Linked DNA regions of Oreochromis niloticus. The protein of the gene in region 1 interacts with the protein of each later gene in a biochemical or structural test. Links are inferred from orthologs where the notes say so. Each region holds a gene or a part of one and is shown in the gene's direction. Other genes may lie near its edges. The genes, in order: ptch1 and shha.

Region 1 (11,140 bases):
TCTTCTATTTTCATAGTTTGGAGAATTAGTTTGTTTGCTATTTTTGTTATTATTATTTTATTTTTTGATATGGCCATCGTGGAACCAAGTTATAGTGAGAAAAGTTGCAAAAAGGATAAATACTTCATGATGATGCAATAAAAGTGTGTACAACTACATTTCAGTTAGAAGATACCAGTCAAAAGGTGGGATTAAAGACTAAAAAAGTGAATTTCACATTTTGTTTCAATTTAACAAAATGTGTACAAGAAAATGTAAAAATAATCTGGGCCCAAACACAGACACAAAGAAATACAGAATTAAACAACCAAACCAAAGTCCATAGATTACAAAGGGTGAAAGATCAAAAATGCAAACTGAAGAAATAGTGAGGCACTAAAGAAGGAGCACAAAAATGCACACAGAGGCAGAAAAAGGTAAAGCAGGATAACACAACAGACAAAACACAGGATGGAAACACAGGACTGCATATAGAGAGCACTAGTTAGGGAACACAATTTACTACAGAGTGAGTACAACATATCCAGGGTATATTTCCGTTAAAGTTATTCACTTACCCTAACATTGGCAAACAGAATAAATGGTAACACAGTCATCTTGCTTAGTTAATCAGGGTTTACCCTGAACATTCCCCTGAATGAAAGTTTGGACTTTGGCAGCATCTGACCAATCATAAACATGCATAAGTAGCAGCAGAACAGCTGATTTTACCAACTAAGATAACACTAGAATATTAGAAAAATATGAAGAGATTAAACACACAATAGAGCGAAAGACAAAAGCACCAGAGTTTTTGAGAGGAAAGGCACTCCACAGCAGTATTAAAAGCACTGAATAAATGTGTGAGTGCAAAAATGGGCTTAGACTAAATTAAAACTTGATATAAAGTCCACAAGTACAAATAGCAGCTCTGTTTTAGGATCATATATTAATGCTTGTAGAACAATAACATTTTTGTAAGATTGTTAGCAGAAAATTGGGAGGAAAAAAAATCAAACAACAAGGTTGCATCTAAGAATTTTCATCAGGGAAATGCAAAGACATGAGATGCTATTGAAAAACTTTAGACTCTGCTACTATCTGTACAGGAGTAATGATGCTGTTTTTCTGGAGAATTTATTGGTCAGTAGCTGGTGACTTTGCACGTGTTCCTCTCTAATCTAGAACCTAACCATTGCAGTATAAGTTACCACGGTGATACAGCCCATCGTATCACAGCACTTTATCCTGCTGCACAGGCCTGTGTAATAAACACAGAAGCACACGTAAAAAAGTAGTTACCAAAATGAACTGGGAAGACAGCTGTACAAACACATGGATGAGATAGAGGGAAGATAGACTCTAAGAAACACTAGGAAAACTAAACTAACAAAATCAACCACAGATCAAAAACTCTTTCAGTTCAATTCAATTTCATTTATACAGCGCCAAATCAAAACCATAGTTTTCCTCAAGGCTATTATATATAATTATATCCTTAAACTTAGTTACAGCACTTTCAGAAAGAAATCTACTGTAATGAAATTTATTCCCCACTGCTGTGAAAATCATTGTTGTAAATGTAAATGTCATTAAGAAAACAGTCAGAAAAAAGAGTGTTTTTGGGAATACTGTTAAATATTCCGTTTCTGTGCTATGTTAGAAAAAAATACGTGCGATTGCGATTAAAGTGGTGGCTGGGCTCTTTTGCATTTTGCAAAAAGCCGGTTGACAATGGACGGTGGATGATTTGATGAGCAGCTCTAAGGTCGAGTAGATATAGAAAAGGGCATAGCTGGTCCCCTTTAGGCATTACGATATTGGTCAGAACAAAACCAGAATGTTGCTCTTTATTTATGTTTACAAAAGATGGTTGAAACAAAGCTCTGATCTTAGGCTTTGTTTTCTTTTTCAAGGTTTGGCTAGCCAGGATTTTGTATAAAACCTCTGTTATTGTCTTATTGTTCACTGTGTTGGCTGTCCTATAAGCAAAGTTTCCATGGTTCAACAGCAAACTATTCAACTTGGTTAGAAGTTTGGGGCAAAACCTAGAAAACAACATATGATTACCATTGTCACAGCAATGTGTGCAAGGGCATACAAGCAAACAAGCAGTCATGTTAGGGGCATTTACACATTTTGCAATACCTGTTTTCTTTTTGTTTGTTTTTGTTAACAATCAGTACAATGCTGCTAAAGCTAAATTGGATGTATAAACAACACTTTTGCCCATGAATGGAACATATCACATAAGCTTTCAAGCACCAAGAAACCTTCACTCCCACGCATCCATATTGATTTTCTTTCTCTTTATTTTTTGTAAGCAGCATGAAAAACAAGAGTAGAGGATGTTCTTGCTTAACTGGGAACATTTGTTTTCAATAAACAGGTGCAGTTTTTTCTGTTCTTCTGTTGTTGTTGCCCCTTTTGGTCTTTTTTTTTTCAATACACTTCATTGTAAGTGACTTACACCTACTGTAGTCTTATAACGACTGGAAAAAACAAACACTTCATAAATACTCAACTAAATTGAGTATAACTTTCTGCATTTACGAGACTTTTTCTAAACTGTTGGTTGGTTGGATACTGCTACAGTTTACTAATGTGACAGAAAATGAGTTGACTAAAAATGCAGTGGTTAGACTGGTTAAAAAAGTATGTCCATAACGCCAGGTAATGGACATAGTATTGATTAGAAATCTTTGTTTATCCCTGCATCAAGCATAACAATGGTCCTGGCTAAAAAGACGCTATTGTTTTGACTCAGGGATAGTAATGTTTTGGCACAGTTCTGCTTGGAACTGTAATCCACCTGCAAATCATAAATAAACGCATGCACTAAGCAAGGTTTTTCAGCGTTTTCTCATGGCCACTGGCCAGCGACCAGCCTTGAGGGGTGTGAGGGGCCCTGCCAGGGGTCACCAAAGGTGACTTGTTGGTGAAGTCATTCTGGGATCAATGCCCAATACCTCAAGCACCTAAATGAATACTTCATCTCCTTTCCCCATTAAGAAATCCATGTGGCTGTGAACGAGGGCTAGATAAAAATAAAAGTATGTCTTCTTGACAAAACTTAACATATTAATAATAAAAACCTAAAATTAAACAGTTCGAACAATCAACTTGAGTAAAACAAGCAAACTAACTCTGAAACAATTTTTTTTAAATGTAATACATAAAAAAAGTTAACAAATATTTAAAAAAAATAGGATATTGTTTCGAACAGTGAGTGTGTCACAGCAGATGCAGAAGAGCAGTTTAACTTATTTCTCTGTCGATCACCATGTAACGAATGATGTTTAGATACAGATTTATTAAACATATTCCGTCACAAAAAGGGGAGTAATCTGATTTTGATGACAAGTATGAAAAGGTGACTACTGAAACCTTTTATTTTGTTGTTTGTTGCTTCATACCTTACAAGTTGAATGGACTTGTTGATCTTACAAAATCTGAAACCCAAACTGTTTCCTGCATTTACAAATCAGAATAAGATGGATTCATTTCTCCCTTCCTAAAGTCAACAATTAGTGCATCCCATCCATGTTAATGTCAATAAATAAAAAAGGATATATGTTCATGTTTGGTCCAGGGTGTTTTAGTGTTGTTTGTGCATATGTATTTCATTAGTTCACACAGATGCTTGCAATATAATCTCCCGAGAGCATTTTTACAGGCATATCTTTACAACTTTTAACTACAGTATTCAAATGGGGGGGGGGGCTATTTTCCACAATGACCTGAGGCACTTTTATGGAGTCCTGCAGCGTTACTGTCATGACAACAACTTGAACATGCATAGCACAGATATTGTGCAGCAGTTGCGGCTCCTACTTCCTCCTGTTCCACTGACACAGGCCTGGTTCTTCTCAGGAGCATTAGGGGGCATCGCAGCCTAACTTTGTTCCCCCTTGGATGCTTTCCCTCACTCAGATACTACACCTGGAGTATCTGAGGGCAGTTAAACTGTATATATTTAAGGTGGGTTTTCTCCATCACAACCAACCTTCCTACTAACTGCAAAGAAGAATGTTAGTGTTTATGATACAGACAGATCAGAAATAAGCATTTATATGAATGTTATGTTATTTCCAGTAAAATGTTACAGTGACAGTTTCTGTCCAGACCAAATGTAAAGTAATTTGCTCCAAGGGGGACACTAAGGGTAGTAAAATGACTTTACTTTGATAGTAACACGAATCAGTCTTTAGAAGTTAATATAATCTGAGACTATGTGGCTGAGGACATGTCACTGTATTAATCTGTTTGTGGTTTCCTTATTATACAGCATCAACAATCCCTTATACGTCAATGGAAATGATCTGTATGCTTGATCCTATATGCTTGTTCCTTAAGTACGCACATGTGCACATACGTGTATCTGTGCGTCTCTAAATTGCATTGCATTCACTTCTTTGATGTCAGAGTGCACAGGTGTGCGTTGTGCGCTCTTTTTCTTTCTTTTCCTTCAATTACCACAGCCTGAAATACTGGAAGCTGCTGCTGCGTGATTGGCACAGTTTACGACTTCGGGCTAATCACGTGACAATCAAAGGGTCCTGCCTATGAAGCTAAGGAGACCACCAACGTGGCCAAAAAAGGCACAGTCTTATAATTGGGTGAACTTTTTTCTGAGCATTCTGACTGTGACCAAGACAGATTACGATGCATCTCTTTCTCTCCTCACAACACTTAATCATTCCTTTTTATCTTTATTATAACTGACTCGTTTCGCTCTCCGAGGAGCGGGAAATCACGGATTTGTTCTGAATGTTCTCCCCACCAGGACAGATGATGGTAAGTGCTCGGCTGGCAGCCACATGCCCAGAGTCAGCTTAGATGGCTTAGGTGTGAAATACACCTGATGCTCTGGCGAGCCAAGAGTGGCTGCTGGAGTTAATTGTTTTGTTTATTATAACCTTATTATTTTGACCCGAAGTCTGTTTATTTGAATGAATTTGTTTTTATCTTTATTTTATGAAAAAAGTTCTATCAGAATAAAGTCAGTTATAAAAATGATGCCTGCCTCACGGATAAATGCTACCTCCTTTGGCAACCAGGTGTTAGGAGCTTAAGGACATCAGATTATAATGAAATCCTAAAATCCGCTTGCTTATTGTGCAGCAAGATGTAAATGCACAAATAGTTCTTGTGTATATCTGCATCTATATGAAATGTGATTTTTTTTTTTTTCAGCTAAATAACCATAATACTGTGATATTACCCTGTGGGATCACTAGACTAAAGGGGAGATAATTTGGCATTTGTATGCGTGATTGCGCATAAACACATCGCAGTTCTCTATAGGTAATATTTTTTCCATTTAGACGTTTTATCAAAGGGTTTTTGTTTTGCTTTGTAGAGAGCTGTGGTCCTGAGGCTGTGGCGTATTTTGATATGTACAAAACACTAATGAGCTGTTTTTTGGCGGTGTTTGACTCTAAAGATCGCAACAACACTATAGCCTACAAGCCGCCCCCCCCTCTCATTGAACCAGTTAGAGGCTCATCTGAGGAAAAAAAAAAATAGTTAAAGTTCTGACATGCCAAAAAGCCCCCTCCGATGCACAAACGGATACCTTGTCTTTGACTTCGGGTCCTCTTAGGGAAACGCTTCATTATTGTAACGGAGCTCTACGTGAAAACCTGAATGCACCAAATGGGTTCGACTCTCGGCGAGCCTCCCCTGAAGTTGGAGATGCTCACATGAGGTCTGCCTGCCTGGGTGGTCTCTCTACTTTAGTGAGCTGTTGCTAAGCAGCTAATAATAGTCGTGTTTGCTGAGTAATTTCTGCCCTTCTGGAACCAATCAGATGCAAGAAACTCCTGCAATCTGACAGCCCCAGAGGCGGGATCTCGAGTATTTTTTTCCTCTACTCACCCCTCCTCTTTCTCTGCCTCCAAATGGAGAGAGGTCTTTTTCTTCATTTCTATTGAATCTCAGAGTTGGCCGTGACGCGCGGCCCAGGGGAAGACCACATAGATGTCACCAGAATGCTACGACTATCGAGGTTTCATACCCGACAACTTGTGTATGGAAATCACTTCGCGAAGCTCGCTTTTTGAGAGAAACTTACTTTTTTAAGAGACACGGTGAATGCGGTGAAAGCGGTGGAGACCTCCGGATCACGAAATGTTGGGATGGAAGGCGCAGACTTTGACTCGCCGTCTCCAACAGGAGTATGAAGCCCTACTTCACGGGTGTGAGATCTCCGAGAGTGAAACTCTGTTCTCTTGGGATATCGCTACACGCTTTCGGGGAAATACTATAAAGTGGGAAACCATATCGCTGTCCCCGCAACATGGCCTCGGCTGGTAATGCGCCCTCCGAGCAGGAAAACAGAGACCCCGATCGGCCGAGGATAACGCGGAGGAACAGGGGGGACTATACCCGCAACACACCGCTGGATTTGGAGTATTTGCAGCGGCCGAGTTACTGCGATGCGGGCTTTGCTCTGGAGCAAATTTCAGAGGTGCTTATTTCTCATCTTGAACGGGAAAAGGCTTTGTGATGCTGCTTTCATTGTATTCGTCGAAAAGAAAAAAAAGTGGCCAAACTGTCCAGTCGCTGCTAGGTAACGGGACGGGCTGGGCACGGGGTACACAGCGGTGAGGCAAGGTTGCAGAAAAGCGCAAAGTAGTTGTGTTTGATTTCACGCGACTCTTCCGATGCAACCGGCTTATGATGAAGGATGTGCTGCAAGTTCTAGGTGCCCGTTTCCCCAGTACAAACACGCGATTGTTTCCAGTGCATCCCCAACCTAGAGCGGTCCCGCACCAGGCAAAAAACATGCAGCTTTTACTCTCGCAGGCAACGCTGCCATTGACCGTTTCATAACATCCAGCCTTTCTTTTACGCGGAGCACCCAAAGCTTTAAAGAGTTTGGGTGACACTGTCTAAACTTGGGTGACTCGTGTAAAGAGGAGGAAAGTAAAAGAATCCATGTGGCTGCCCTCTTCCGTTCACAAATATTGTGATTCCTCCCCGTGATAGCTCCTTCACTTCCCCGTGCAGGCCGGAACACACGAGCGGCCGGACGGGGAGAGCGCGTGTGAGTGCGTGGTGGTGGTATTTGTGGTTTTACCACATGCGCCGATTCAGGGTATTTAATATCACCGGGCGATGTGTGCGTGCAGGTTACTTCAGTAGCAATTACACTACCCCTCAAAATGTAATAGTTTCTGTCAAGTGGGGAGCATGTGGTCTACAGTGCATTCAGTATTTTATTTTATTCTGTCTTTTAAGACTTATAGTCTGCTACTAACCGCAGTATTGTGCTTCCAATGACCATTTTACATAAAGAGTAGAACAAAGACACAAGGGAGCCTGCTTAGTCTAGTTGTGGTTTGACAGTTACAGTCCTGTTTACCTGTGTCTACTCTGGAGGTCCAGATGTACTTATTTTGGACTATTTTTAAAATATTATTTGTATTCATAACTGGTTATTGTGGCTGTGAAATGCCAGGGAATGGTGGTATCTTTCCTTAGCATGTATTATGCTAAGGATTCTGATCTGACAGGACCTGTAGCTCGCACTCTGGGGAGTCCTCAGCAGTACCCAGGATCCCCAGCAGATTTGTGGTTTTTCAGTGAATAAAGGTTAGCAGAGGGATTTAGTGGATGTGTTGGAAGATCCCAGCTCTCTGACTTTAGATCCCCGGTTGTAGGTAAATGTGCAGTCTTACTGAAAGGAGAGCAGGTGGGATTCTTTGATCAAAGAGAGGCTTGTACTTTAAAACTGTAAAGGTTCTTTTAAGTGGACACATTTATTGTTGTAGCTTATTTGCATGAATACCATAAAATCTTTTGTCTTTAACCCTACAGCATCACCTGAGCAGGTAAGTGCGGTGCTTTGTCTGTTGACTGACAGTAACTCTGGGACTCTTGTCTTATCATAGGGGAAGGCAACTGGGAGGAAAGCACCTCTGTGGCTGAGAGCGAAGTTCCAGAGACTTTTATTTAGGCTGGGCTGTTACATTCAAAAGAACTGCGGAAAGTTTTTGGTTGTTGGCCTCATGATTTTTGGAGCTTTTGCTGTGGGCTTACGGGCAGCTAATTTGGAAACGGATGTGGAGAAACTCTGGGTGGAAGGTAAGAGGCTCTTGATTATTTTGTTTTTTGACAAGCTGTGCAATTCATGATGTTTTTAAGTGTGACCTCCTAGGACTTTTCTTTATTTCAGTGCTTTTGAAACTGTTTCACTTCATATTGCATGTTTCCAAGAATTTGACACAGTTTAGTTTGGAGGAAGAAGGTTTGTTGGTGCTACTAAATGAAGTAGGTAAGGGGACTGTTTATTGTATAGGTGCTGGCAAGCACCCAAGCAAAACTTGAAAATACTTGCCTATTCCCAACACACTTAGCTTCTAAAACCGTTCTAGATGCACACATAAGATGTGCAAGGGCTGAGTGTAACTATGCTCATAAAAAGTTGTAATTAAGTTCATAAGGGGCTTTCGGGGTAGAGGAAATTTTTGTGAAAGCCGCCATTTTGTGAGATGTGTGTGAGTGTGTGTGTGTGTGAGTGTGTGTCTGCCTGCCTGCCCCCAGCAGTTGACTGTGTGTGGTCCCGTTTTGGACAGCTCTCAACTTTCCAAAAAGATTTGTCTCCGGCTGCAGGGAAAAAGCGGAGTGAGGGCAGGAACTCGTGTTTGTGGGGTGGATGGAACACTTGTTAGTTTTCCTTGTTTTTGAAATTCCTAAACAACTTTTGAAGAGTGAAAATATATAAGGAAGAAAGAAACTGTGCATATGGGTGGTGCTTGTGGGGGGGTTTAAGGGGAAGGGGCTGAGCTTTTTTTCCTTTCCTTTGATCCACATTCCTGCGCTTATGGGTAGAGTTGGCTGTAGGAGTCATGAATGGAGGAGCAGACTTGTTGAGAAATTGAAGTGGAGTACTGTTTGGTTATAAAAATGAATGCATTTTTTAAGCGTGTGCTTGTGCGGTTGCCTTTTTAACTTTTTTAAAACCACTTTGTCTCAGGTTTAAAAAAAAAAGTTAACAAGATCAAGCACTAAAGCAGACTGATTCCTGTACAGATCAAACACCACACCTCCTGCCCGGGGTTGGCTGTTCTCCCCTTGCGTGCAGCTGCAGGGGTCTGACAGACAGCGTGTTCTTCTAATCTGCGGCGCAGGCGCAGTTGGCAACAGTTTAGGCAGAGGGGAGCCTCTTTGGGATAGGAATCCTGATTATACTCAGAGGATCGCACTGTTTTCACACCCTTTCACATGTCTGACCACGGTCATGTATACTAAAGTGACCGGGACCTTTTGGAACTGAATATTATTGCACACTTCACAGTGCATCCTTTACTCTTACATGCAAGTGCTGAAATGAATTAGTAATATATTCATAACTTCTTGTATTTTATGTAAAAAAAATAAATAAATCAAACATTTGCAGGGACCTGTCACTGTTTTGTTGCCTGTTTACCTGCTTGCCTGCTCCTTTAATTTTACACGCTGTGTGGGCTTTTAACAAAAATTACTAAAAAATACTAAGAGCATCACTTTGGCCTGTTGTAACTTATGAGCTTTACTCTTCCATCTCATACTGCTGCCCTTCTCAAAGAACTGGGTTTAGCAACATTTTGGCAAACCTTTTATTTAAAGCATACTCAAAAATACAGCAATGAAGCCTTTTGGCTTCAAGATGCATTGCAAGTGCAAACTGTAGACTTATTTCAGCCTCTCCAGAGTACTGAGGTTAAAATTACTAAAAGCTATAACTTCAGAGTTATTTATTCAGTAGGTAAACGGTCTTCTTGTAGCTTCTCAAATTTGAGAATTTGTAGATTTTCTCAGTTTCCCATTATTATTAGCACCTTTTTGTCTTTGCAAGGTCTGGTAACTTGTGATTTATCAGCAGTTTCAGATGTTTCAGCTGATCCTGTTGCAAGTTTAGCGCTGCTGGTGTTGCATCAAATTCAGGATACTCAAACCCAGAGTGACTGTGCACTTTTGTTTTGTTCCACCAATAAATTTTGGTGTTGACAGAACTGAACCTGACCTTGGCTGACACACAAGTAGTGTAGTGACCTCTGGTAGACATCTACAAAATGGTCTCATACTGGCTCACACCAAGATGCAAACCCCTGCTCGTACACAGGCTCTGACTACAAGACAGGGCTGCTGTGGTTTTCTACATCCCGATAAGTGAGGGGTTCCAGATGCTGGTAGGGAGAGATCTGTTTGTTTAGATTAGACTGCACAGCTGAGGGATAGATTAGTTCTGCCTGGACCGTGGAACGCTGTGCTGGGCCGTGCTGGGGGACTGGCCCATCGTCCGAGAGGAAAAAGAGGAGAGGACAGAGTGCCTGTTTATGTTTCATTTGGTTGGAACTGCCCCTCCGCAGGCGACCCATGGACGACCCCACATGGAAGCTGTGTGGCCTGTGGATGCGTGCGCGCATACAATACAGCCCAGCTCCCATCAGATCTCTCAGCTCCTCCAGTGTGGACCGGAGCAACGTTCACGTTTGCGATCCCATGTCGTGTCAGTCGTCACCTGCTTTCTGATAGCTCCAGAGCAGCTGAGGTCTCCGGCAGACCACCGTTAAGTCTCTGCTGCGGTTAGCTTGTAGGTCACGTGCCACAGCTTTTGCAGGGATTGTCTTTTCTCACACAGTGCTCACTCAGCACTGTTTATAAATACTCTGACACAGGAAGTTCTGTTTATTAGACAAAGTGACAGAGACCAATTGGGAGCGAGATGCATGCCTGCACAAAGACGCAGTGGTGTCAGACCTCTGAGGATGCATGGAAGTTTGTGCTTTACTTAACAATCGGGGCAAGATAGTAAGATTTTCAGTCTTGTTTTTCCCACTTAGAAAACATCAAAGTGACCGTGGCTTCTATTTAGGGCAGATTGTATCCGCACTACAGACAAGCTCTGTGTTTATATCCACTCACAGGAAATGATTAGTTCAAACAGGAAGCTGTAGTATTGTGGTGTACTGTCTCCCCACACACAATTGTGGTCTGAAGCTCTCTGTGTGCTTTCCTTAGTGTTGGAAAACATGCTCACTGGCTTGCGACCTCAGATGCATCCTCAGCTTAAACCTGAAGATCATCTAGATGATCTTGCAGTGATTAACAATAAGCCACATTCAGGGAGAAGACATAGACGAGCGAGGAATGAGAGTCCTTTAGGGTTCCT
Region 2 (11,128 bases), on another chromosome or scaffold:
TATTTTAGCAAAGCTATATATATTTGCAGAAAATGAAGTTTAAAATGATTTAAAGGTAAAACTAAAATGGCAAGAACGCAGGAAGTGATGTTTGGAGTTGAAAAAAATTAATACGGATTACATATTTAACCAGGCAACGGAACAAATAAACATCAGGGCATGAGCGTGATGACACATTGTTTTGCAGATATCATCAAGGCAAATGAGAAAGAGCTGATTGAGGAGCAGCATATTTGCATAAGCAACTATCAGACGCAGGTGGTTAATGTGGTTGGCATGGGTAATGTAGTAGCCTGCTAACTGGGCGTGACTGAAGCTTTGCTGCTGTTTGTTGTGCTCTTATTCTTTATTTTAGTCAGTGGAGAGTTATTAACACTTCTTTCTGTTTTTTTTTATTAGCCCGAGGTGTGATGGCACACACTTGAAGCATTTAGGACTCATTAGAGAGATAAAATCAGTGTCCTCTCTTTAATGAAAGCAAATCCTGAAGCATTCATGTTGAAGCAGATTGCTCATCTCTAAGAAGTATATCTGTACCGCCGATACTCTCACATCAGTGTGATTAACTCTGGTGTTTCAGATGGTTACACGCAGTTTCACAACTTTATGTCCCCTGAGTCACTGAGTTTGTTTCGATTGAACTCGTTTCCTGCAGTCTTGTGGATGAACATATTGTGACTGATGCAAAATATTAATGCCGTGTATGAACTCACATCTTGCCGCTGATTCTTCCAGATTTGCGTTATAATTTAGTTGCTTTCACAGGTTTTGCATAATGTAATTAATGTTTTTTTTGTGGTTTTTTTGCAACGTCTTAAAACTGAAAAAGATAAGATAAAAAAATGACCCTACTGGCATCATTTTTTCCAACTTCTTTTAAAAAGGCACCTATAAATTTCAGTTCACTTGTCATCAAACTGCTTCCTAATCCATGACAACAGTAACGTTTTTGACTTTCTAAAGTAAAAGAAGAAAGGCCATCGGAGTTATCGTTGGTTTAGGGTTTGGTTTTTTTTAAAACTTTGAGTCTAAACACTGAATAAAAAGCAGGCAGACAGGCAAGCGGTGAGAACAAAAGATGCTACAGAGTTGCAGTATGGGAAGGTCTGCATGCAGTGTGTTTTTGGAGTGTGACTCATGCTAAGAAAGATCACAATATTTCAACTTCTGCAGCAAAAAGGTTGCCGGTTCTTTGCAATGAGTCCTCCAACTTAATGTGCAGAAACCAGCATTTTCAGGCTCAGCTTGTTGATTCGTACCTTTTATTTCTGCTCATTTTTATTGAAACATTTATTAAAAAGAAGTTAAATCAACCATTCACTCTGAAAAAGATAAGTCTTTATTGTGTATTTTCTATATATGTATGTGTATTTTCCAGTATTCTCAGAAATTCTGCATCTGTATGTGGTACACTTAAGGGTTTGGCTGCTCCCATGTCACAATTTGTGTCTCCGAATATGAACCCAGGGTCTGAGGTGGTTAGCTTAGCTTAGCTTAACTGGAACCGCTTTGTCATTGCTATGACAAATAAATAAAATATATTTAACTTTGCAGTTTTATTCATGTCATTTCTTCTGCAGCTGAGAGTTTTCCTCTGAATCAATACTAAGCAGACTCAGAGGCTGAGATGGAGGAACAGAGCAGTGACACATTCATCCAGACTGCCGAAGTTCCTGTATGAGGTGATCAACTCTGAAATTCCAGAGAAAAAGGTTTGGCTTATTTTCACCAAAGCCCAAATATAATCTGACTGAACATGCAGACTGGAGGCTGCAGTCAGGATTTTCTCACACTGGTACATGGAGAGAGGTATCAAGAACACACACGCGCATACAGCCTCTCACTTCACGCTTCCTCTTCATCCAACTTGTATCATGCAGTATTCTCGTCTTTTTATTGTCTAATTTGCTGTGATTTAGGGTCTGTGTCCACAGGCAGAGGTTTTTGCACAGGAAGTGACCAGTCTCACATCTATTTGTCACAAAATAGACCAAACCTTTCTCCCCTGAGGAGAAACGCTAGATAGATACAAAAACCCCACAGACCCTTATTCACTTAGATAATGTTTGAAATTTTAAAAGTCTTCTTCAGAACAAAACTGGAGCTTTGCACATTGTTTGCTCCTCCTCGTCTTTTGAAAAGCAAGTAGATGCTCTTTCATCTATGCGTTTGCCACATCCCATTAAATGCTGCTGGTGTCTCAGTTGTGCACAAGGTGTCCTTTGGTGTCAGTGCCTTGGCATACAGCCTGAGCGAAACTGGACATAATACAGACACATAAGTACTCTTTGAAAGCAAAGATTGTTTGAGTCTATTTTTTTTTCTTTAGATCTGTTGAATTTTATTTATATAGCCCCAGTTATTAGTCAGTAACCTTTGTCTCGAGGCACTTTATATAAGAGGTAGTGACCTTATAATATTAATGTAGGACACAGGTTCATTGGACTCACTGGTGAAGTGAACGCAGGTCAGTTTCTGGAAACACACTGAGCCACTTGAATGTTTGTATATGAACTCATTTACGTGAGGAAGAACTGATTTCAGGAAAATAGAGATGTTCAGATCGTAAACATTGTGAGGCTTTTGTTCGTGTATTAGCTGTTTAGATGTTTTATCACCAAAGAAACATTTACATTAGTCTAGAAAGTCTAGAGGTTGCTGCAGAGATAAAACTCTGCCAAGGCAAACATGGGGCGCTACCTGTTGTGGTGTCCCCAGCTGAAAGTAGCTTTCCATGAGTCTGCTTGGTTTCCCCTCTTTTATTCTTTTTAGAACATTTGTACCCCTTAAAGTGTAAACTCAGATATTTTCTGTAGAATGGAAGAAATCAGCCGCCTGCTGTCATGACATTGAAACCGGTTTGGAGAAGAAGTGAAGTAATATCGGCCGTGTATCACTTTTCTTTAGGACGTTAAAGACACAGCTAAGCTTCCACAAACAAAGCAGCTTGTTTCGATGTAAATTCTTCGCAGTGGCTCATCAGAAAGTCTCAGTACGGTTATGCATTAAAGTAAACAGACACATGTCAGTCCTCTGAGCCGTTCCCTCTGTTATCACCGTTGCTTAAGACCGAGATGGTGTTGCAGTGCACGATGGCCAGCGCTGACTCACCTGGTGGAATAACACACAAACACCAGCCCCCCGCTTTCCACTCACTCAACTCCTTCCCCTCCCACTGAGTTCACCCTGCCCTGCAGTTCAAAGAGGTTCTGCCTGTCTAGCCTTGGCGTTTAATGTTTAAGTATTGGGAGCGGCAGGAGAGTGCAAATAAAATGCCTTTACAGACTCCGGGGCACGCTGAGGGTTGTGATTCTAGATACTGTATTGTGAAATTTCCATTGTACTTGACAGATTAGCTCCAGGTCACCTGATTCTGTTCAGCCGAATTCTGACTCTTTACCTCTGCTTAATGCTTGATGCGTGCGGCTTAGATAAACCATTTAGAGGAAGATTATTCAAACTTTGTGGCTCTAACAAAAGAGTACACATGCTCATAGGATAGATGGCAACGTGTCCGTGCTATAAACTGTTTGCCAAAAGTTCAAAACAGGATAAAGGGTTGAATGCGGACTCCACCTGCGAGGAAAAACCACAAAGAGTTGCGGTGGGCCTGTCTTTCTGTTAGCCTGGGAGAAAGGAAACCCTATTTGCAGCAACGGAAAACAACACAGAAAGCCTGACACTGCTTATATGTTTGTGCGTGATTATTCTCTAGTCCTAATCCGTCTAACAATGTTACAAAACATTCAGACAGGAGGAGGCTTTAAAGCAGTAATTGGGGGGACTTACACTGGTTAAACTCCACTCAACCACTTCTAGTTGCATCTCGCTTGTGCTTGATCGAGACGGTGGCAGATGAAATCAAATGTGGGTGTGGATTTAGTCTGATTCTAAGCACATCTTTTTGATTCCTTTGAATGTCAGACACAAGAGGGAGCCTTCTAAAGAAAGGCAGCGCAGCGCAGCAGATGAGGACGATGCGATGGATCAGGTAGAGGGTTCCATATGTGCGTCTGCACATTTTGGAGGGTAAAGTGTTAGATGGGACACACCATGAGCCAGAAACTGATGACTCATTGGCCGTTTTTCACGCCTCATACTGGATTAGCCATCACATGCAACAGGCTTCTTAATAATTGTGTAATGCCCTCAATCCCTCCAGAATTATTTCAGAGAGCTAGCCTTCGCTTTTCTGCATCACCCTCATATGCAAATCCACTGTAAATAAAAGAGTAACATAGTGTGACATAATGGCACAAATCTGGGATCTTAGAAGGTGTTTGTTTTAAGACGTCTGATCAAGGCAAATGCTCAAATAAAAGTTCACACGCCAAATAGATGCAGATACTTTAATTGTCTAAACTGTGTGCAGTGATTTACTTTGCTTTTAGTTGCAAACTCCACCCATCTGGCACCGAATTAGGCCAAAACCAAACAATGAAGTGTAATGTTTGCAAATACTATTTGCCCCAGGTCTGACTGAGAGATGCTTGGTTTCCTCTGCGGTAGAAACTCAAGTTCAATCCCACCAGCAAACCTTGGTTTTTAGAAAGCATAATTCATTTTCATTCAGCATCTTTTCTTTCTTTTGTTAGTTTATAAGTTGTTGCTTTAATAATTGTGTTAGTGTGAGCATTAATATAAGTATTATTACTCTTTTTCAGGAGGACTGAGACCTCTGAGGACTCTTTCTACCTCTGCTTCACCTCCCTGTGGGTTTGAGGCATTTGTGTGGCATGCCAGGTTTTATCCCAGAGCTGTGACACCTGACCTGGGGCTAAACAGTGCCTCTGGTGTCCCTCAGGGCACCACAAGTGCTGTCAGCTTTGTGTTTGAATACATCTGCAGACGTCGGCGCTGAAATGTGACTAAGGAAGACATCTTAAGAATCTCAATCATATGCGGCAAAAACAGAGTGACGGTAGTGATTTGCAGACTGAAAGCTGGTAGCGGAGTCTCTGGGTTATACAGCAGTGTGCCAACCGTCTTTTGGCTAAGAGCTGATGATCGTGGTCTCAGTGAGCAGCAGTTGGTCTCACCTGCCCTAGCTGCTTTGCCACAAGCCTGGCACTGACTAAACAACACCAGACTGGAGGTCAGCCAGAGTGAGGTCTAATGAGAGAGAAGCCACACCAAAGACTGGCGTATCTGTCCTCACTTCAGAGCACCTGTGCCACAGTGTCTGTGTGATGAGAGCCAAAGTTGCCTCAGAACAGCCCGTCTTCCTGTAATTACTCGTTGTTATCACACAAATAATTTTCCTCCCTGAAATATTTTAGATATCTGTTTTGTCTGGACCTTGAATTTGAATACAGTGGTGTCTCATGGTACCATACAGCCTTAATCAACAACAGTAAAATATTTCTTCATTGGCCTTTAATTATAGGAATGAGACTATGAGAATGTTGAGTTGGTGATTGAAATAAAATCTATTTTAATACTCGAGAAAAGTCATAATTTCTTTCCTTTCGGAAAGTTAGTTTTTCAATACTATGAATCTGTCAGTAAAGTAGGTTTTGACTGTGTAGGAGTGAATATTGTTGCTACCCACTATCAGTATATTTTACGCACTAAATAGGTTCTTCCCCATAAAAAGTGGCTTTTGGTTATCTTTTTTTTAAAACGCTTTCTAAAGCCTCGTCTACTATTGTGCTGTAAGTCTGTCCCGTTCCCACCCTCATTTTTAAGGACTCTGCTTCATTTTCTGAATCTGAGTTCCAGAAACCTGCGTGAAAATATGATGAATGTGTGGAAAAATGGTCACATGGAATGATATTTTGGAGAATAAAATGCATTTTTACGCATAAACTAAAGTAGGAAACAAGAGCGCGCAGAAGGCACTGATGTTACTCCAACTTTTGCTTTTTAGATCTGGTGAAATCGCCATAATATTAGTCCAAAAAGTACATTACAGTACAAGTTTTCTCAGTTTTATTGTGCCTTTGAACCACCAATAAGTTAAGTAGTGCCTTACAGCGTACATTCACGTTGGCACGCTGTTGTTGTTTAAAGGGACGCGAAGTTAGAGGCAAATTTCAATCTAATCTAATCTAATGAAATCTCATATCTCACTGCACTGTAAGCAAACTATTCCATACTATTCTGGTGGATATGGGGTGTCACAGCCAACTCATGCAGTCTTTGCGCACTGCACGTCCATGAGCAGTTTTATTCTCCTGGGAAACGCATTCTGCGCTCAAAGTTGTCCCACACAAATCAATTCACCAAACTACACTGCTACAGATTTGAGAACCACTGTTCAGCCTCCCCTGTCTGTGCTTCACTTACTGTGAAACACTGGAAAACGGGAGGGTGGAAAAAAGACAGTTTATAATTGATGTTTTCCCATGGAGCAGCCCCTCCTCCTCGAAACAGAGGCTAACCCTCAGGTGGAAGAAATCTTTTAAGATTTTTGTGGGATAACATCAGGAGGGGTAGTCGACGCCAATGAAGTCCCTCCCCTATAGATCGGTGCTATAATACAAAGCAGTAAAAGCGGTAGGCACACACACAAGCGGCAGCAGCTCGACTAGAGATCCCGTGGCTTTTAATTCCCTCACTACTTTTTTTTAAACCCTCCTTCGATTTGCCCCGTTATTACCATTTATCCGAGGCGTTCATTTCCGCACCTGCCACACAGAGACCAAGCTAAGGCGAAGTAGAAGAGGAGACAAGGACACTGCGAGAGCCGGGAGAGGCAGACTGTAGAGATAGCAGCGGTGACCCGTTTGAGATCTTAAAGGACAAAAAAAATTAAAAAAAAAAAAAATGCTGCTCTGGACCAAAATCGCGTTGGTCGGTCTCATCTGCTTGTCCTTGGTATCCTCTGGGATGGGATGCGGACCGGGCAGGGGGTACGGCAGAAGAAGACATCCGAAGAAGCTGACACCTCTTGCGTACAAGCAGTTCATCCCCAACGTCGCGGAGAAGACCCTCGGGGCAAGCGGCAAATACGAAGGCAAGATCACAAGAAACTCCGAGCGATTTAAAGAACTGACTCCCAATTATAACACAGACATCATATTCAAGGATGAGGAGAACACCGGTGCTGACAGGCTAATGACTCAGGTAAGGAGACGGAATAACCTTTTCTTTTAATTTTATTGTGATTTTTATTTTTTTGCCCCCACTGTCCATTTCCTAACGCACCATCACTGCGTACTGCAACAACCTCCTTGTCAGACTGATTGCGCACCTTAAGTGAAGTCTGTTTTACCCGCTGCTGAACTCTTCACACTGAGCCTTTTAACTTCACTGCAAAGGCAGATGCGCTTTATACACCAGCATGGGAGTTTTCAAAGGCTGCAGGCTTGAAGCGAATATAGAAATCCAGCTGGATAAGTGATGTGCAGGCGGACAGTCAGGACACTCGGCTTTCATGATTGTGACAGTGTATTTAAAATATTAATGTGCCCCTCTCCTCATATCTATATTTGTATCTATGGGAGGCTCGTTTTGTTGCCTTACAGGGGCACGTCCATGTTAGATTTCATGCAGACTTTCTGTGTTTTCTGCCTATTTCGGCTTTACGTTGCGGCTTGTTTAAGCGCCTTTTCTTTACCCCAGCCCTGGGGATGCGCATCGCGTTAAACAGCCGGGCTTACTGAGGCATGGCGTAGCTCATTCAGACGTTTCCTTGCACAGCCTTCTGTAATTTAGCCTTTCGCGTGGCGTGCATCTGTGCATGAAAACTGACATTTCTTTGAGAGTGTCCAGGCCTTGGTAAATGGGTGGGACTCGGCCAATTACACGAGCAAGGCGCACAGGAGTGCTGGTGTGTTTTACAATACACCTGCACGAAGGATGGCGTCTGTTTTAAATATCTCATCCTCTTGCAGCCAGTCAGTTTAAAACCTTATACCCGGTTCAGTGCAGCTAAGAAGAGGCTCACATACATCGGAGACATGCCTTGATTTCTCTCCAGGCTGCAGGATGTCGCGTCTCTTCAGCATGACTTTTAGCACTTAGATGCTGGTGAATTATTAAAAAGCTCTTGGGTGATATTGGCTCAGTAATAATAAAATGAAGATGGTGATGGTGGTGCTGCTGGTGGTGATGAAGCCAGGCGCGCGCCGGTGTCCCTGAACCCGTGCCTAGCACCACGCATGAGGGCGAGCTCCAATAAAATATTCACAGTGCGTGCGTCGCTCAGCCCTCCCCACATCTCCTCTGCTATACACCTATAGGTTCTCATACGCAGGGATCGTGAAATTACAGTAGTCTGAGGATGTGATTACCAAGGCGGGGGGTTAGAGACCTAAACGGATTCTCCGGGGGTGGGGTGGGGGGGGGGTTTCCAGGTCTCTAGCAGGAACATAGTTTAATTTAACCATTATTTCGAGAATCTCTGAACTAAAGAAGCACCTGTCTTAATCCAAGCTTTTACTCTGAGTGAAAAGACCCGCATGCCTATAAGGATTTGCTTTTGCAGGTCAGCATCAAAACGAACAAAGGTGGGAGGTGGAAGATCTGATAAATTGTGATTACATGTGGCACCATACGCTTGTGCAGCGTGGCCTGTTGGGGGTTTCTTTTTGTTTGTCGGATTTATTTGGGTTTGTTCGTGATCCATTTCCCACTTGACTGTTTACAGAAAACACGGCGACCGACTCTAAGTGTGAAAACACACAGTTTGAACTTAGAACCTTTGGTCAGCGGGAGGCCACAGTAAGTTAAAACAGGTGTGATTATCCTTTTTATATATGACACTGTAAAGCCACCAGATTGAAGCATGTGCACCCAAAGGAGAGTAAGTGTAGCTGCAAGCAACATAAGCATTATCACATGGGGATTTACGCCGTGCCAAGGCTTTATGCATGAATCCAGAGGGTTTTTACGCACGGAGTTTTACGCATGAATGCCTTGAACTTCTCTCGTTATCTCGCGGTTTAGAAAATAGGTGTTGTATTCATAAATGAAACAAGACACGTGTCTAGAGTAGCCCCGTTAGATATGTGCAATAAATGAATTAATCAGTCAATCAGTTCAGTGCGGTCTTGCCAAGATTATATACTGGAAGAAGCGCTTGAACAAGCACTTCTAACTAGTTTGACACAGCGCACTCCCAGAGAGCTGCCAACAAATAGGCTTTAGAGACATTTACGAATTGATACACGAAGTGACGGGGCCTGACTTGATTAGCAGCATCACTTTCGCCCGCTATTCTACGGCTTTTAGACTTATGCTCACCTGTCTCTGACCCTCGTGAATTCAACTTGTGTTAAGTGACATTCTACGCATAAAAGTGGGACAAAATAAGACTCCAAAGGAATTTTTAAGGCAATAAAATGACTTAAAATTAAACAACAACAACTTTGATTTGCCCTCTTTAAACAAGTGAAACTGTAAGCCACAATGTCATGGGTTACTTTTTTACGTTAGATCCAGTGCCAGACTAAACGGCGTTTTCATCTATTTTTCTAAGCGTAACAGTGTTAAGAGCCTGCAGTGCAAACGAGTTGGAAACGAGATGAGCTGGCGGCTTGTTTGCACTGACAGGTAGCTGATAAGTGTTTCCTCTAACCAAATCATTTGTGAAAAGATTAAGAGGCAGGCTGTTGAACAACTTTACCCCGAGCACAAAGCGCCGGTCCAAGGCGCCCTGCTGGGCTTCATGGTGGCTGAGCAGAATTTGGCTTGATTTGCGGCACACGACCTAATGAATTAATAAATAGGTTAAGCTTTACGGCTCTTGACTCCGAAAATCTCTCTCAGTATGCAGAAGGGTTTTTTAAGGAGAGGTTTGGTTTTTTTTAATTCAACACATTCTACAAGTGTGATATCCTCATAAAACAGCGACTGATATATATGACTTTGTTTTCTGTTATGCGAGCGGGTAGATTTATGTGAACAACCCCCGATTGAAGACCTCAGACTGTCCCAACCGTGGGGTGGGGGGGGGCAGTGGGCTCTTCTTTGCCCCCAGTGCAATCCTCGGATATTTCACAAGTCTGTTAGTCAGCAGCCAAAACACCTCGACTTAAGAAGGCATGTCACGTTTCCAAGACTTTGCAGGAGAAGAGTAATGAAAGTTTCCCTCCGCCGCTGGACTGAAAAGACTCTTTGTGATGTTTTATTTGACATATTGGTTCGGCGTCCAGAATAGTTGTCTTGGAGAAGGCCAAGCATCTTCATTTAGAGCGCGGAGAGCTTAGGGTTCAACCAACTCCAGATATTTTAAGGAGGCAGCTGCTCTTGAAGATCATCTTCATATCATCTGCACATCAATTATTAATTTAAAGAAAACAAGCAACCGACAAAAGACTCCCTCATTCATCGCCTAATGCAGACTCGTGAATTCATACTGTATTAATGTTGTTTTTAATGCAACACTTCTGGATAGAAAAGGGTCGCTGCTCGCACCTCTCCAAGACCAAAGACCCATATGTTATAGGCCAGTGAAGCGAATGCAGTGCCTTATCAATATTTCATTAGCAGCTTTCTTACCCGAGATGTGCCCTCTGACGCTGCTGCTAACACTGAGAAATGCAAGCTCAGGATCAGAGACGCAGTTCAGCTCCAGTGTTTCACCTCAGCTGGGAGGAAACAGGGGAGTCAGGTGGGTGGGGGGATGGAGTTGTGCGAGAGGCCTCAGTTGGTCCAGTTTTAATCTTTAATTGATATTAACCCTTGTGTGGTGTTCATGCTTTTGTTGCTCGGGCAACATTGGCGGATCTGGTTTAATAGATGTTTACTTTTCTCAGTTCTAAGCAATAAGATCCACACATATGGTCAATATGTGGAATTTACCTCCGTCAGAGCGTATTTATGAACTAAAGCGCTGCTCGTTTTTGTGAGAAAATATAATAAATATCTAAATATAAAAACGTTGTGAATCATATGAGGCTATGTAACTCACCTCGTTAAACAAATAGCCTGTTTGCATTAACGTCTACACAACACATGGGGGGCACTTTTGCTGTGTGTGCACATGTGTTTCTTGCCCACAAACATTCCACCTCTTCTTTTTGTTGCTACTGGATCTAGAATAGATCGGGGAATGTCTCCTGATCGGTGATGAAAAGTCCAGCCAGGGCCACGTGTGTTGGTCCTGGCTGGACCACGTTGGCAGACACGTGGGGTGCTTCATTCGTTGGACGAGAAGGCCATTTAGTTTCACTTTTTCTCC

Evidence for each region.
Region 2: the proteins of ptch1 (region 1) and shha are reported together in a solved structure, tested with the Homo sapiens proteins (5 studies listed by BioGRID and IntAct, with this or other methods). The link is inferred for Oreochromis niloticus from reciprocal best matches to the Homo sapiens genes PTCH1 and SHH.

Annotation. Positions count from the first base shown.
Region 1 is NC_031977.2:22,909,030-22,920,169, reverse strand, and holds the start of ptch1 (protein patched homolog 1), read left to right. Parts: upstream 1-5,869; 5' UTR 5,870-6,280; coding exon 6,281-6,451; intron 6,452-7,877; coding exon 7,878-8,070; intron 8,071-11,140.
Region 2 is NC_031974.2:16,770,014-16,781,141, forward strand, and holds the start of shha (sonic hedgehog protein), read left to right. Parts: upstream 1-6,404; 5' UTR 6,405-6,768; coding exon 6,769-7,068; intron 7,069-11,128.